Saccharomyces cerevisiae S288C: one gene and its partners. The gene in region 2 interacts genetically with the main gene of each other region. Each region holds a gene or a part of one and is shown on either strand. Other genes may lie near its edges. The genes, in order: ETP1, NHA1 and VCX1.

Region 1 (5,547 bases), on a different chromosome or scaffold from region 2:
AGTTGACATTTTCCTTGATATACCTAACTACGCTTGGTTCTGCATATAAATTATCTACTGGGACGTCGAAGAACCCTTGAATTTGGGAAGCATGCAAATCCATAGTAATAACATGATCACACCCGGCTGTTGTTAACATATCGGCCATCAATTTAGCGGTAATAGGAGCACGAGACTTATCCTTTCTATCTTGTCTTGCATATGGGAAATTTGGAATAATAGCAGTGATTCTTCTTGCAGACGCAGTCTTCGAAGCATTGATCATGATCAGTAGTTCTAGAACACGATCGTTCACGACACCAGAGCCAATTTGCGTGATGATAAAGATATCTTGGTCCCTAACAGATTCTCCAATAGAAAAGGAAACCTCACCGGTTGGATCTCTCTTTAGTTTGCTGCTTGTTAACTGTAGACCTAGCCTTTTGGCAACAAGTTCAGCTAAACCTCGGTGGACATCTGGTGCTAATAATTTGATGGAATTTGTTGGCATTTTGTAATCCTAAGTGAATATATGAGGCTCAGTTTGAATGGGTAGGTTCGTTTATCCTGCGCTGGCAAAGTACGTAGAAAAAAGAGTATGAATCTTTCTTAGATATATTCAAGAAAAAGTAAGTAAATAAGAGGGTACGTGATTATAAACAGATACGAGTTTAGCGAATAATACCGTTCGCAATCATAACTTTATAAAACTCATCCTATTACTTACTATTCGACTGGAAAATTTTCGCAGGCAAAAAAAAAAAAAAAAAAAAAAGAAAAGAAAAATCGATGAGCCTGCCGTACACAGAGATATAATAAATTTAGAATGCAAGAATGGTATGGCGGTGATGAAGATAATCATTTCCCTGCTTTTTTATTTTTGTTGCGCTTCTTCTTGCTTTTGGATGCCTGTGCTGCCCCATGTGGTTGCTGTATTAGGATGGTACCTTCTTTTACACTCTCATCAGCGTCTTTGAATTTTTCTTGAGAATCTAGATAAAACATTAGGTCCTTGACTTGCTCTTCCAAATCTTGTTTAGACTCTTCTAACGCTTTGTTTTCTCGCTCTAACTGCTCTTGTTTTTTTGATAAGTGATCTAGGTTCGCTTGTAGTCCTTCGATTACTAACATATCTTCCTCAAGCTTAGATTTCTGGGCCATTTCCCTTTTCTGCCACTCCTTTTGAGTGACCTGAAATTGGAGTTTCAAATCTTCCATAGACTTCTTCAAACTTTCAACATTCGAAGAATCAGACGCAGTTTGATCTTTTTCTTGTAATTTCAGTTCATAATATTCTCTTTGAGACTCTAATTGAGATATTAGGACTTGCACATATTCTAGATGATACTCCCTATGCCTTAAAAAATTTGCCGCCAGCTCGCCATCTTTTTTATTAGAGTTCGATTTCTCACCGTTTTTGCTCCTGTTCCCGTAAACAACATTTTGTAGTTCATCGGAGTTGCCTATATCATTGTTGTCATCGTCACCGGAGCCGCCGACCTCTACTAACTTCCCATCAACTTCATTTTGAACTAGGCGATGGACATAATTATCACCCGCATAATCCCACACTCTTTGTGTCCGTATATCCATCGCAAAACAATGTAAAGTTTCTTCATAATGCTTGATTGCGTGTTTGGAATTGTAACGACCGCATCCAACATTACCGCAGATCAAGCAAATCCATAGATTATCAGTGGAACCACATGTTGCACAATGTGCGGAATCACCTGCCTGTTTCAATAATGATTCCCTGCTTAGCCGCAGACTTGAATGTCGACACACTGGACACCTTGAATTCTTCCACTTATTTAAGCATTGGCAATGAAAAGTGTGCTGGCACGGGATCGTTACTAATCCAGTAGTTTCTGAATCCATTCTTTCAAGGCAAACGGGACATGTGGGGAGTTCGACTTTTACCAGTTCCTTTTTTTTCTTAACAGTGAATGGATCAGTAAGCAGATAGGGGAAGTCCTCGTTAGCGGCTGGTCTTTGGAAGAGCTTTTTTTGAAAAACTATTTCTTTTACAGAGATCACATGGCATGTTTCGGGATCCATCCTGCTGAAACTTTTGCCATTGAACTCTTCCTTGAAATTTTTCGCATCAAGTGCATTCCTGAATTTAATTAAGACCGTGAAATTAAAACCCATTCCCTTCTGCTGATTTCGTAATATACGAAAGTTTGAAACTTGCTTATTAACAATATCATCACCAATATAAAAATGCAATAAATCGTGAACGGTAAAATAAGTTGGAACAAACAGGATACATATCATAGTATCATCTCCCGGGATAGTCAAAATCTCCTTCTCATTAAGAGTATTATTGGCATTGCTTAGCTTGAATAGCCTTATTATCCCATGGCCTAAGTATTGTGAAGTAATCAAATCACTTTCCTCTTCTTTTGATGTTTGATTTTTGAAATCAGTTATCATGTCTATTTCCAAGTCACAGACTCTCCAATCCTGCCAGTCTTGATTATTACTTTTAATACTTTCTTCCCCGATACTTTTTGCCTTCAACTTTTTCGGAATACTCTTGAAAATTTGATAAGCGGATTCAACCTGATTTTGGTTTCCAAATTCTAAAGTAATGATATACTCAAATTGATCCATAGATGTGAGGGCCAACCAGAAAGTAATACATTCAATGCTACTATTCCGTTATTGCCTCTATGTGTTTTCCTTTGAACTTTTACTTAATCCGCGGGTGAAATTTCATTTTTATATTTTCCATTTTATAACAGGCCGTCCCCTAAAAACACCGCGTAAGAACATAGTTTATACACTTATATAAGTAAAAGGTGTAGTAGGTTGGAATGGTAAAGGGCGTATTGTGTGTCAATTATGCGATGAAAATGTATACTTCGAAGTCAATAAAAAAAGAACCTGGTTTGCCTCATGAAGATGTTGCCTGCCCTTTCTTATTTAGTGTTTGTAAGTTATTTTTGTCAAAGTCTATTCATTCATTCAAAGTAGCTTCCTCCACTAGAAAATCGATTAAACTTCTTGGATACGCAGGTCCATGGGTATGACAACATTCTTGTCCTTGCAATTTGCTCATAACGTATGTCACATCAAAGTCCCTCTCTTCTGAAAGTTTGTAAAGATACTCCCAGGTGGCGGGGACTGTTAGTACATGTCTTCCTGCTTCGTCAGTATACTGGGTATTTCGCTTCATAATTTCATTATCCTTTAGCGAATACTTGCCTTTGTGATTCAGTTTGCTTTCCAGGACCATAGAGGTAAAAAATTCATCTTTCGTTGGGAAAGAATATTTGTAGTTGGTATCATCTTCTATGTCCTTTGAAAAATTTTCATTACCACTCCGCAGTAGCAGTCTGTTCTCTGCGTTGATTTCAGTATTTGCCTTTCTTAGTTCCTCAATTTCTTTCAATAAACTTTGGCGGTTCCTTTCACTTTCTAACAATTTATCTTGTAATTCTTTCATTCTGGCTTCTTTTCTCTCTCTGAAGGCTTTTTGGGCGGCTCTGTTTTGAGCCTTTTTCTTTGCCTTAGAGTCATCTGGAACATTCTCATTATGAGCAACTGAGGGACTCCTCGAACTTGGAGATATACCATTATTTTTAGAAAAATAATTTGTATTACTATAACTATCATTATCATTATTATTGTTATCTGCCATAACATAGGTAGAGTAGTCGCCTGAAATAGGGGTTAGTTGAATTGCTTGAAGATCACTACCCTTAGGGAAAGATATGTTGTTCTGTAATAGCAAATCATTATTTGATCTGTCAAGGTTCAAAGCAGGACACTGGTCTTCCAAAATTGGGAAGGGTGCTGTTTGCTCGCTCAATAGGTCTGGTTGTTGTTTTATACATTTGCTATCTTCTTGGAATAGACTATTTCTGATACAACAATCCTCCTCTTGGCATTGAGGGTTAATAAATTTCATGAATCCGCTGGTATTATCATCCATATTAGAAGGCGTCATAACAATTGCTTCAGCCTTATTCTTCGTTAGTTTATACTGGAAGTAAAGCAAACACCTACTGCCCCTTTTATCGAAATGATAAACAAATAAGAAAGCTCAGAGGGCCTCCGGTAATATTCAAATCGATCTGTTTTATAATGCTTATTGAATAATAATGCCGTTGCTGTACTCTTAACATAAAGCTACGAAAATCCACTATACATTTTTCTAAAGAAAAAAAAAAAATTCAAAAAAAATTGATTTCGCCCAGGATCGAACTGGGGACGTTCTGCGTGTTAAGCAGATGCCATAACCGACTAGACCACGAAACCAAATTCTTATTGATTATGTTGTATTACGGGCTCGAGTAATACCGGAGTGTCTTGACAATCCTAATACAAACAGTCTTAGGGAAGTAACCAGTTGTCAAAACAGTTTATCAGATTAATTCACGGAATGTTACTTATCTTATATATATTATATAAAATATGAATCATACTGTTGGAACGAGAGTAATTGATAGTGACATGAGTTGCTATGGTAACAATCTAATGCTTACATCGTATATTAATGTACAACTCGTATACGTTTAAGTGTGATTGCGCCTATTGCAGAAGGAATGTTAAACGAGAAGCTCAGACAATACTGAAGCGGTGTTAAAGACCTATTAGTTGAACATGTTATGGTAGGTACATATATGAGGAATATGAGTCGTCACATCAATGTATAGTAACTACCGGAATCACTATTATATTGGTCATAATTAATATGACCAATCGGCGTGTGTTTTATATACCTCTCTTATTTAGTATAAGAAGATCAGTACTCACTTCTTCATTAATACTAATTTTTTACCTCTAATTATCAACATGGCGACCCCAGTGAGGGATGAAACAAGAAATGTTATTGACGACAACATTTCTGCGCGGATTCAATCGAAAGTCAAAACAAATGATACTGTCAGACAGACGCCATCATCATTAAGAAAAGTTTCTATTAAAGATGAACAGGTGAAACAATATCAAAGAAACTTAAATAGGTTTAAAACCATACTAAATGGTTTAAAGGCAGAAGAGGAAAAACTTTCTGAGACTGATGATATTCAGATGCTAGCTGAAAAATTATTAAAACTCGGAGAAACCATTGACAAGGTTGAGAATAGGATTGTGGATCTAGTTGAAAAGATACAATTATTGGAAACAAACGAGAACAATAATATATTACATGAACATATAGATGCTACAGGGACTTACTATTTATTCGATACGTTAACTTCAACCAACAAAAGATTCTACCCTAAGGATTGTGTTTTTGATTATAGGACTAATAATGTCGAGAACATTCCTATTCTCTTAAACAATTTTAAAAAATTCATCAAGAAATATCAATTTGATGATGTCTTTGAAAATGATATCATAGAAATCGATCCTCGTGAAAATGAAATCTTGTGCAAGATAATCAAAGAAGGACTCGGTGAAAGTTTAGATATCATGAACACAAATACAACTGACATTTTTAGGATAATCGATGGTTTAAAAAACAAATATAGAAGTTTACATGGTAGAGATGTCAGAATTAGAGCCTGGGAAAAGGTTTTGGTTGATACAACATGTAGAAATTCCGCATTGTTAATG
Region 2 (5,547 bases):
TTTACGATTTCCTACGAACACTGCCCAAGATGATAAATACATCATTCAATATTCAGATATCAGCCGCGGATTTTTGAACAATGGCTCCTACAGACAATTAGATTTCATCAATGTGAACCCCAGTGAAACCTCACTAAAAACCTTTATCAATGATGTTTTAAGCTTTTAAGTTTAACGGAAAAGAGTAATGACAAAACCGCATACCCCCCCCCCCTCCCCCTCTTTACCGCATCTACTCTATTTCCGACACATGTAAATAAAAAAGGCATTTCGTTTATATATATACTAAAATAATATATCTTTGTGTATTAATAAATTACTTATTGAGACCAAGCGTTTTTGATAGCGCCGACTTAACAGCAGCACTCTTTTGCTTTTTTTTTCCTTCCGCTGTACCTGGACCATCGTTTCCTGTTTGTGCCTCCACAGGTAAGGGCGGCAACTCTTCGTCATCTTGATCCGCTGGTGCCGTCATCTCACCTAACGCATTTAACCTTCTTTGTCTTTCGAATTCAGTTTCTGATTCATATGCATTATCGTCGTAATCTTCACTATCGTCCATGTTATAACTATCACCTAAATCCTCCTCAGATGAAGGTTCATCTTCCAGATCTAAGGAATCTTGAACTCCTCTCGGTGGCGCAGGTGTTAATGTCCTTTTCTTTAACATCCCTGGGCCCTTCCTGGAGGGTCCTTCGATGGCTTTTTCTTCATCTACTGGAGGCGGTACGCCGCTGTTCGCTTTGCTCTTTAGTCCTACTGCTGTTAAAGCTCTTGATACAACACTATCGTTTCTTGGGCGGTTTTTACTTTTATCATCATCAGATTTATGAGGATTTATCTTGTATCTTTTTATAACATCACCGTCCTCATTCTCGATGATTAACAGATTGTCTATTTTAAATGCATGATACTTGCTGTTTTTATTTTTATCCTTTCCTTTATCAACCAATGAATGTATCTTTCCTAAAGATGTGGGAGTTAAAATTCTCTTTAACCTTCCCCCACTACTACTGGATAGATTGGTCATTGTGGTAGTTAAACTTGAATGGGCTGTACTATCAACACTAACTTCGTCATCTCTCGCCTCATTGCGATCCTCGATATCTACTTGATTCAAGATTTCACCTTGCTTATTTTCAATAATCATTCTATTACCATCTAAATAAGCAGTACCAGGTTTCATTTCTTCCTCTTTCATTTTTCGAATTCTCCTCTCTTCACTACTGGCCATTGATCTTTCACTTTCATTTTCCATCTCGTCTTCGCTTTCAATCTCGCTTTCTGTCTCTTCTCCATCGTAACGGTTTCTTGGTACGTAAGTTCTTCCTCGGAGAGATGAAGATCTTTCAGACGACTCAAAACTTGGTGTGTTATTGTAATTATCGCTATATTCCTTTTCCGGTGTGTACTCATCTTCTTCTTCATCTCCACCCATTCCAATCTCCTCATTACGTTGTGTATTGACGGCTGTGCTCAATGCAAATGTGGCGGCGCGTGCTTCCTTTTCTTTTTGCAACCTTTCTCGTCCCAGATCATTCAACTCATCGTCATCATACATTTCATTTTTAGATCTTGATGAAAATATTTCTCTACCTTTGTTTCTCAGTTTCTGTCTTCTGTTCAATCTTTTCTCTTTTCTTGACAATTTCCTCCTCCTTGGCATACCACCAGCGGGTCTTGCAGGAATTCCGCTCGTTGCGACGCTACCAATTTGATCATTGTTTAATCCTTCTTCATCTTCACCTCCTGCTAGTCCCTTACGACCTCCTCCTTCTTCTGCTTCACCTTCATCCCCTGATAAAGTCATTTGAGTATCCATACGATGCAATGAAAATGATCGTCCAGCTTTATCCAACGATGGCAACCTTTGCATCCATGAACTTTTCCCATTATCACCATTGGTGGTGTGTGTAGTGAATGTTTTGGTTAACGTTATCGTGTTCAAATGACGACCTAGAGTTATGATTGCAACTGAAGAACCATGAACTATGATAGAAGTAACAATGAAAAAACAAGTTATTGGCCATATACAGGCTATCAGCTGCCAATGTTTACTTTCCTCTTTTGATGGTACAACATTTAAAGGAGTGGGTTCGTCACTAAAGGTAGACTCTAATTCTCCACGAGCTAGTATAGCGGCAAAAATTGCACCTACACCAATAGGACCAAAATGGCCCACAAAAAGTGCCTCACGCCACGATTTTATATCAGGTATAAGAGGTCTTAATATCATGACTGCAGGGATCCTACGTAAAAAGATGACCACTATCGAAAGTATAATTAAACGCCAGACGTTTGTGCCAATTTCACCGTTGTTGAATTGACTCCAAGGTATAATGGCACCAAAATAGATAAAATACGCATAGTTTAGTAGCAAATCAATCACGGTAGAAACATTACTTTCTTGTGTCTTTTGAGAAAACCACCCATCCCAAGCGAAAGTCGCACCGGCTGCAAATGATACCAATAGGTCATCCACACCCAAAATGGAGCCGAACCCAGCACACATGAACGCCAGGACAACGTAAAATGCTAAGAACGACTCACGATCGATAATGTTTTTCTTTTCGGCAAACCTGATGGTGATTCTGCCTACATAACCAATGAAGCAACCTAGCAAGCATCCAAACAAACACTCATACAGGATAGTAACGCAAATCCAATCTTTGACAATTTCTCTTCCATTACCGGGATGTAGGATTAAATTCATAGAAAGAAATAAAAAAGGAAAGGCCATACCATCATTGCAGCCTGACTCTGCAGACAGTAGATTTCTTAAGTGACCAGGTACTCTTTGGGCAAACTTACCGGAGACGACCGACTGCGCCAGAATAGGATCTGTTGCGGTAATGCACGCAGATATCAACAAACTAGCAGAAAAATTCAAGCCAGGTATAAGAATCCAAACGAAGAGACCAATAATAAGCCATCCAGCTGTCATCACTGGCAATAATAGCATCGTCACAGATACCCAATGCTTCAACATATATTTCCGTGGCAGTTCCACGGCAACGGCAAAAATTTGCAAACATAATACTATTCTCGTTATCTCTAATGTTATACTGTCTGAATTCCCCCATTTCAGAGGATTAAACCAGTTCAAGCAAACAGGACCCACAATTAGCCCAAATATACCTGCTACGGTGGACTCACCAATATAAAGCTTCTCCTTGACATAAAGTGACACTAAAGAGAAGATAGATGAAAAGACACCAACACATGCATAAGCAACGTGCGCCTTTGAGACTTCTAGTTGCTCCCAGATAGCCATAATATCTAGCTAAGTTCAGGATTTTTTTTTATAATGTACAAAAAAACACGATGCTTGGGAAAAATAAGTGCAGTGGAAAATGAAGCTTAAAAATCAAATGTGTGTAGAAAGTGTGATCCTATGTAAATCGCTAAGTCCGCTTTATCTTGACGATAACGGATCCAGCAGCTTTTAGATTATTAGCTATATCACACAGAGTTGGCTTAGTGCCCTTGCTAATCAAAAATGAAAATCTTCCCAATCCGTACGGAGGGGAAGAGGCACTGCCGCATCGCAAAGAAAAATAAGATTATCAGCATTATATTGTTTCTATTATTATATATGGGACTAGGTGATAAGATAAAAGTTAAAACGGGACTCTTGTATGACCTGGTCAACGATATCATAAACCGTGAAGTCATATTCTATGATGGCTTTCTCCAAGAACAGTGTTGTCACCTCTTGTGACCGCAAGTGTATCCCCACGAGGACATGGAATTGCAAATTGTAGGTAGTTTGTAACCAGTGTTTGAGTTGCTTGAGCGTCTTCAGAAACGGATCTATCAGGTACTCGTTGTATATGACATCCATAGCTATAACGTACACGGAAGAACATGTTTCACCTATGAGTGACAACTCAGGATGCAGAGAGTGGGTCTTTTTGTCTTGCAAGTTTATCTTCTCCCAGTCTAGAGCGGCTACTTCCAAATGCAACGTAGACTTAGATGGAAGTGACGCTGCGGTGATATCAGCGTCGCCAACTGGTTCGACGGTGGGAAGTTCCAATCTTAGTGATCGGGAAATGCACCGCTTTCTGGTCAACTGTGATAAGTTTTCCATGATGTTATCTTTTAATTTATTAAGAATGCCCTTCTGATCTGTCGACACGTAGGTGTCGACGAAGTTACCAAGAATCACGGGCAAAATACCTGATATTCCTGCTCCAAGTTCCAAGATACCTCTCTTGCCGCGATCAGCGCCCGTGAGGTCGACCAGCCTGGGCAACTCAAGCTTGTGCCCCTCGCAAGAAGACCCGCAGGTTACTTCCACCTGACTCCCAAGACGGAAAGGTGCAGCGCTAGTACTATACAGCAGCCAGTTGATGAAGAAAGGTGTGGTAGACCACAAAACGTATCCTGTGGTGGAGTTTCCGTTGTCTCTGGACGAGCGCAAGCTTGATATGGACTGCCCCACGCTAACATGATAGCTATCCACAGCAACATTCTGATCTTCTTCAACACTACTAGCCTTATTTCTTCTTCTCACTCGCTTTTTTTTTCTGCCGCCTTCCAGCCCAGAGGGTTCAAACGTTATCTCTAGCACACCGCCCCTTCTATCCTGAATACCCAAATCCTGCGCCAGTTTCCCGGACTGGCCCTCCAATTGTGTGTACCGTTCGAACACGTGCTCGTATATTGTTTCCTCATCCAGTAGCCATAACTTGAATGCCATTCTGCCTAGCCCATTTGCGTCTTCGCTGCCGTAACCATTCTCTCTTCTTGACAGCACTGCCTTGGTCAGTTCTCTATATTTGTCGCGCCGCCGCAAAATGCACCCACATTAAAGAAGACGACGCCAATCGACACCCTAATTTGGAGGTGTAGATGCACAATGGCACATGCAGTTGGGTGCATTGTGCCAGCAATCTCGTCTCGATTTCTCTACATGTAACTTGTATATATATTTGAGAGAAGACATAATCGTTGGTGGGACTTGGAGGCTCTTGGTAGGTCGTATTTGTGCATCTTGAGAGAAAGCGAAACAGTGCTGCAAACTCAATACGTAAAAAATAACGCAATATGTGGGCTCAATTATCATATACTAGACCAGAATCTCAGAAGACTGACTTAACGTCGTTGTTTTCCACAGATCAAGAGCAAAATCCATTAAATGACTACCAGTACCAGATCAATATTAGGGAACTGGAGGAGTATTACAACAAGACGATTTTAAACGAGGATAACATACAGGAAACAAGCAGTGAAATATCTTCGGCAGTTTCATTCTCTCCACCAAAAAATACAAACGCTATTCAACCGGGGCTACTGTATGATCCACAGTTAATGAACCCTTTTCTCCCATCCGCTCACCTGAATAGCACGGCACCTACTACTTTTAAAAAGAAACTAGAGGTACAAATAAATCCGGACTATGTCCCAAAATCTTCACAATTACCATTAACTTCACAGAATTTGCAACAGTTGTCTCAACAAAAGCCCAAAAATGATGCTTCTTTTTCATCAGAGAAGGAATCCTCAGCTCAACCTAAGGTGAAAAGCCAAGTGCAGGAAACT
Region 3 (5,547 bases), on a different chromosome or scaffold from region 2:
CATATTGGACGATGAGCGCGAATGGGAAATGGATGTTTTGTTTACTATGTCTTTTTCTTGAGCAGAAAAATTTTTCAACGTGCGACAGTCTCTTTGCGATTTGTACAACTGCTCCTCTTTGATAGGCTTCAAGAATGGCGAGAGACATGTAATTAAATCATCTGTGGAAATGGTGACGTCCCAATCAAAATATTCTAATAGTTCCCTTTCAATAGTATTAACCTCCCTTAGGATGAGAAGGCCGTCCGTATATTCGGCCCAGTGTTTGTTAAGAGGGGAGGAATCATTTAACGTTTTTGCAGCTAATATTAGGCAACCTAAGAATATTCTATGCCTGGTGGTCTCTATACCATAAACGTTACTCGGTATTATTGATCTTAATTTGGCCAAATATACAGAGGTAGCCATCAGAGTCGGAGTTTGAACGTTAGAATGCTTGATCAGTCTGTTGATGAATTTAGTCAACGGTGGTGCTGGCAATGCAATATCTATCATACTATTCGTCTTCTTAATTTTGATAATGGAAGCTGTGGTCGATGCTAGATATTGCACCATTTCCTTAGATACAGCCTTCCTATTGAATTTCAGCAAGGCTTCGTAGTTTGACATCTTTTGTAGTAAAAAGTTGCTGCCGTATTGAAATTGCTCTTGTCGGATCAGGTTGTTTAGCACCGGGTCTTACTTTTATAAAGGAGAATTATAAAGTGAAAGAAAGGAGAACTTATAAGACTAAAGAAAAAAACACTTAAGAAGCACTTAAACTTGCATTAGATGTGTAAATCGATCAACCTGTAACATGTTTGAGGAAGGTCTCACACGTCTCCGAAGTTACAGCTACCACTTAGCGTGTCTGCGGGAACAATAGATCTCTTCCCAATTTGCACTAAATAGGTAACTAGCCAGGCCTATAAAAATCTTCGAGCGGAGAATTGACCGTAGTATCTGCCAAAAAAATCCACCTGCACCAGCATTTTTCGTGTTACGCGAAGTCTACTTTTCGCGTCATCAAAAGACGCTATAAAAATATAGCTGGGCTAATTTTATTCTATAGCTGGCCATTTTTTTATGCGATATCTGCTGGTTTTTTACAGCTGGAATGCCGTGACAGATGTAACAAGAATGTGTTTCAGCTGGCATTCTCACTCAGAAATGTAAGGCTAAAATCCGCTAAAATAGGGCTTCGCGTCTCATGATCTATTCACATTTGTTTCTAATAAACTATACTACAAAACGAAATTCTGTTGTGCAATGATGTAGGAAGCTCCATGAATTTGAGCAAAATTCCTAAATATTCTCGTTGTAATGAATAACGTTACCCTGAACAGTGCAGCAAAGCAGCTGATGTGCTGCAAGAAGAACACGAGCTGTAGTTGAGAAGCTTCGAAATATTAAACCTTTTATCAGAATGGAAATGGTGCAGAATTTGAGTTTCGAAGAGTGTACAAAATATTTTGTTGGTTTTGAAAACTTTTTTTCAGATAAAATTCGATATAAAAATTAGTTGCGTAAACATAATATGTATAATATAACGATCATAATAATGACTTGCTAGTCATAATCATCTTTGTATTGGTCCATCGATAGAATTACGAAGAAGATAAAATATAAAAAAAAAGAGAATGGTGAATTTCTGCGCTACTGTTCTTACTCATAAACTATTTCCAATAGAGTCAAGGGTTTTTTCGTCTGGATAATAGAAAAATGCCATTGCAATCAAAATATACATAGCTAGAGACATGACACCCTCCAACCAGTTTGACTCACCATCGAGAATTAAGTAATTGGATAAGAAAACAGCAATAAAAAGAGTAGCGGTTTCAAAAGTGGAGAAATTTAGCGTCATTGGAACATCGATCATCCAGCCCACAAGAACCATGAATGGTGTAACAAATAAGGCAACTTGTAAAGAGGAACCGATGGCAACACCTAGCGCCAGATCCATCTTATCCTTCATGGCCACCAAGACTGAAGTGACATGCTCTGCGGCATTACCCACAATAGGAATGACAATCAAACCTATAAATGTTTTAGATAGCCCGGTAGATTCAACAACGTTGTCTATCGTACCGACTAGAAAATCCGCACAAAAAGAGATGATCACAGTTGTACCTAGAAGTATCACCAATGATGACTTGACACTCAAAGAGTGATGTGGATTCCTGGAAATGGTGCTCATAACTTCATCGGTCTCTTCTTCTTGTTGCTCAAACAAGGCGTGATGGCTCCCTAGCTGGAAATATAAGAACAAAACGTAAACGATGAGAATAACAATAGAGGTGCCTCTGGATAACTCCAATATTTTTCCATCGATGAAGTGGTCTTCCTTGCCATGAGGTAGGGTGGCTCTAAAGGCAGCGGGAATCAGTAGGGATGCACACGCAATGGCAAGTAATGAGGACATTGTTTGAGCGGCGGTTTGGTTGAATGTCTGTTGGACTCTATTGTATCCACCGAATATGAAGCATAATCCAAGCACTAACAGCAAATTAGAAAGAAGACTACCTAGCATCGAGGCCTGCACAATTCTCACTTGACCTTTTTTCAGGGCAATGATAGAAACAATTAGTTCCACAGCGTTACCAAAAGTAGCATTTAGCAGTCCCCCAATGGTGTTACCAGCCTTATCAGCCAACTCTTCCGTGGCATTAGCCAAGATAGCTGCCAACGGTATAATTGCCAAGAAATTAAAAAGAAATGTCAGTGTATGAGATAGTTGGAAGTGTCCCCAAATCAGACCTAAAGGAACAAATACCAATAGGAAATTCAGGGGTGACGCTTTCAAAATATACTGTAAATCATACACAGCTGCTCTCCATGCAGTGTGCTTTGGATTGCGGGCGGGATGACTGTTCGCAACAGTTAATAGTGGGGTAGTTGCATCCATTGTATCTATGTTGTTTTATTTGCTATCAGCAGCCGATGAATGATATGCGTCGAAGTCAACTATATATTTAGGACTGCTTTTTAAGTTTAGGAAAGAGGAAACTTCTTTTACTCTCTGAGGAGATAAAATAATGCTGGGCGATAGTAATTTCCATATTCTCGTGAGGGAAATTTTTATTTTTCGGGAATTTTGATCAAGCCGTCCAGTCCAGTTTACGAAAAAGGAACTACGTCAATTAGTTTACAAAACATTCCCGATTACGTATGTCATATTCATCGAAGTTCGTAAGTGAGGATGACAAGGGATTAACGTCGTAAGGAAAACAATCTAATTGAAAAAAAAAAACTATTAGATAAGTATATATAACATTAAATTAGAACTTAAATACTACAATATTGTTCTCTTGGCAAAAAACAAGAAGGAAAATAATTGTCCCTCTCCAAACTGATAGCTTCCATTGAGTTCAATAGGAGAAAAAAAAATCCAATTTTTTCACACTTTCGGAAAATTTCCCTTTTAAGTTGTACTAAAATTACAGACAGTTGGAGGCATTAGATTAAAGGTGTATGATAGAGGTTAAAAGTAAACATAAATTCGTAACTGAAGAATTGAAGGAGATATTTCTCTTTGGAGAATTTTAAAAGAGTAAACCAGAAATAAAGAGAATAGAATATTATTAGAGAATAAATGATGTGTTTGGTCCCATGAGAAAGAAAAATTATTGACGTTCAATAATATTTTTTTCTAGCATACTATTTTTTTCGTGATTTAGGTTCTTTTTTCTCCAAATGAAAAACTCTCACATATTCGTTTGTTGCTGGATTGTCACTCCTTCTTCTCATCCTTGGATGCGGTTTATTGTTCTCTACTAATTCCAATGTGTCAATTTTGGTATCTTCCTCAACTTTATCAGTACCCGTTGGGACTTTTTGGGGAGAAAGATTCAAAGACGGCCGGGAAGCAGGAAGAGGAAGTTTTGGAACTTTGGTTTTCCATGAGTTCGGCGATACACCTCCATATCCTCCTTCTAGCCTAGCGCCAGTGGATAATGGTCTTTGCGCTAGTCCTGGCAATGACAGTTTACGCTTTAAAGGTCGTTCAAGAAGTGGTCTCAACTCTGCGGAACTTGCACTTTCGTTGGTTTTTGGGGTCTTGTTTTTTAAAAATTCTACCTCTTTTTTCAACAAGTTTGTCTCAACTGCATACCTTCCCTCTGAGGTGGCCCTTAACTCCGATAGCTGGGCCTGTAACTTCCAGTGAGATGTGGATGCTAAAGACCTGTTAAGCACACTTAATATGAGATCTTTCTCACTAACTAACGTTTCATCATCCCCTTCCTTTATCCTCTGTATGAGATTGAGAATTGTGTTTTCTAGTTCTCTGGTGTTTTTCAAAGATGGCATGAAGTGACTAGTAAAATTGTAGTATTCATTGTCATCAACTTTCTTCGATGAATCTGTAGTAGCGGTATCAGAGTAAGCGGGACTAAATACACTTGTGTTCTCGCTCTTTGCTTCCCTCGTGCCGACCCTCTCATTGGATTCTATGCTCCGTTCACTCTTATTCTTGGCAGGTTCCTCAGGCGTGACAAGATAGGCCTCTGCGCTCCGTCTACTTCTTAGCTCCATAGCCAACAAAATGTTAAATTCCTGTATGCCGTAGCCTTGCCCGCGTTTCGTATCAAAAGGGATGAGAAACTAAAGTGCTCAAATTTTATACGTTTCTAGTGCCTTATAGGTGTATTGCTAAGCCTGTAAGGACCGACGTATGTCCAACTTAGGGAGCTTTACATGTGTCAAAGAACCTTTCATTCCCGATGAGTAAAAATTTTAAAAATGTGCGCGGGAGAAGCTTCGGTCGGCGTCGCCATCAAAGGGCGAGCAACCATGGGTTTATGTAATTTTTGGTTGCTATGGTGACGACAGGTCTGATATCCCGCAACCAGGGGCTATCCCGCAGTGCCATTTCTAGCAAAGAACGAGATGGTTAAATTCTCGTAGCCCTTTCGTATGGACATTACTTCCGATTTTTAAATACTGATTGATTAGAGGTTTATTTTATATGTAAATATATATACATAAAGGGTAAAAAAACGTTGCAGAAAAAATGACTTTCCTTGTATGTTTAGTCGAATAAACCGAAACCCATGTCGTCGTCAGATTCTTCAGCAGCTTCTTCTTCTTTTTCTTCTTCAGCAGCAGCGTCACCACCAGCAGCGGCAGCGCCAGAAGCAGCACCAGCACCAGCAACAGGGCCAGCGTTATGGAAACCAGATAGGATTTCCTTCAAGTCCTTACCTTCCAAAGCCTTAGCGTAAACATCAGCCCAGACCTAATTCAATGATACATATAACAAGCTCCATAGGAAGAGTCGTTATTCGTTGAGTTTGTTAGTAAAATGAGATCCTTGAAGAAGTAATTCGATCCTGACTTGTGCTTTCCGTTAAATACGTTAATGGAGAAATATTTCTACATGTATTGCCCCCTAGTATCTCATCATGTTAGAGGGAAACGTTACATGGAATTTTTCTGTCCCCCATTATTCAAAATTGCGCATTTCTCGGGACGATTGTTGTCTAATCTTTCTCTTCGTAGTCACACAAAGTCGTTTTAGGTTGCATTTTTGTACATACGTTGTCGACATTAGCACCAGCGGCCTTGGTG

Evidence for each region.
Region 1: of NHA1 (region 2) and ETP1, a mutation in one rescues a mutant of the other (synthetic rescue), as found in Saccharomyces cerevisiae (one study listed by BioGRID).
Region 3: of NHA1 (region 2) and VCX1, extra expression of one rescues a mutant of the other (dosage rescue), as found in Saccharomyces cerevisiae (one study listed by BioGRID).

Annotation. Positions count from the first base shown.
Region 1 is NC_001140.6:81,127-86,673, forward strand, and holds ETP1 (Etp1p), read right to left. Parts: upstream 2,596-5,547; coding exon 838-2,595; downstream 1-837. Other genes in the region: ribose phosphate diphosphokinase subunit PRS3, read right to left, coding at 1-490; YAP3 (Yap3p), read right to left, coding at 2,942-3,934; YHL009W-A (gag protein), read left to right, coding at 4,783-5,547.
Region 2 is NC_001144.5:416,164-421,710, reverse strand, and holds NHA1 (Nha1p), read right to left. Parts: upstream 3,275-5,547; coding exon 317-3,274; downstream 1-316. Other genes in the region: SLS1 (Sls1p), read left to right, coding at 1-169; RKM5 (S-adenosylmethionine-dependent methyltransferase), read right to left, coding at 3,602-4,705; TIS11 (Tis11p), read left to right, coding at 5,053-5,547. UniProt on the Saccharomyces cerevisiae protein: Sodium export from cell, takes up external protons in exchange for internal sodium ions. Also capable of exporting potassium ions.
Region 3 is NC_001136.10:229,989-235,535, reverse strand, and holds VCX1 (Vcx1p), read right to left. Parts: upstream 2,885-5,547; coding exon 1,649-2,884; downstream 1-1,648. Other genes in the region: cyclin PCL2, read right to left, coding at 1-609; YDL129W (uncharacterized protein), read right to left, coding at 3,637-4,512; ribosomal protein P1 RPP1B, read right to left, coding at 5,009-5,215, 5,517-5,547.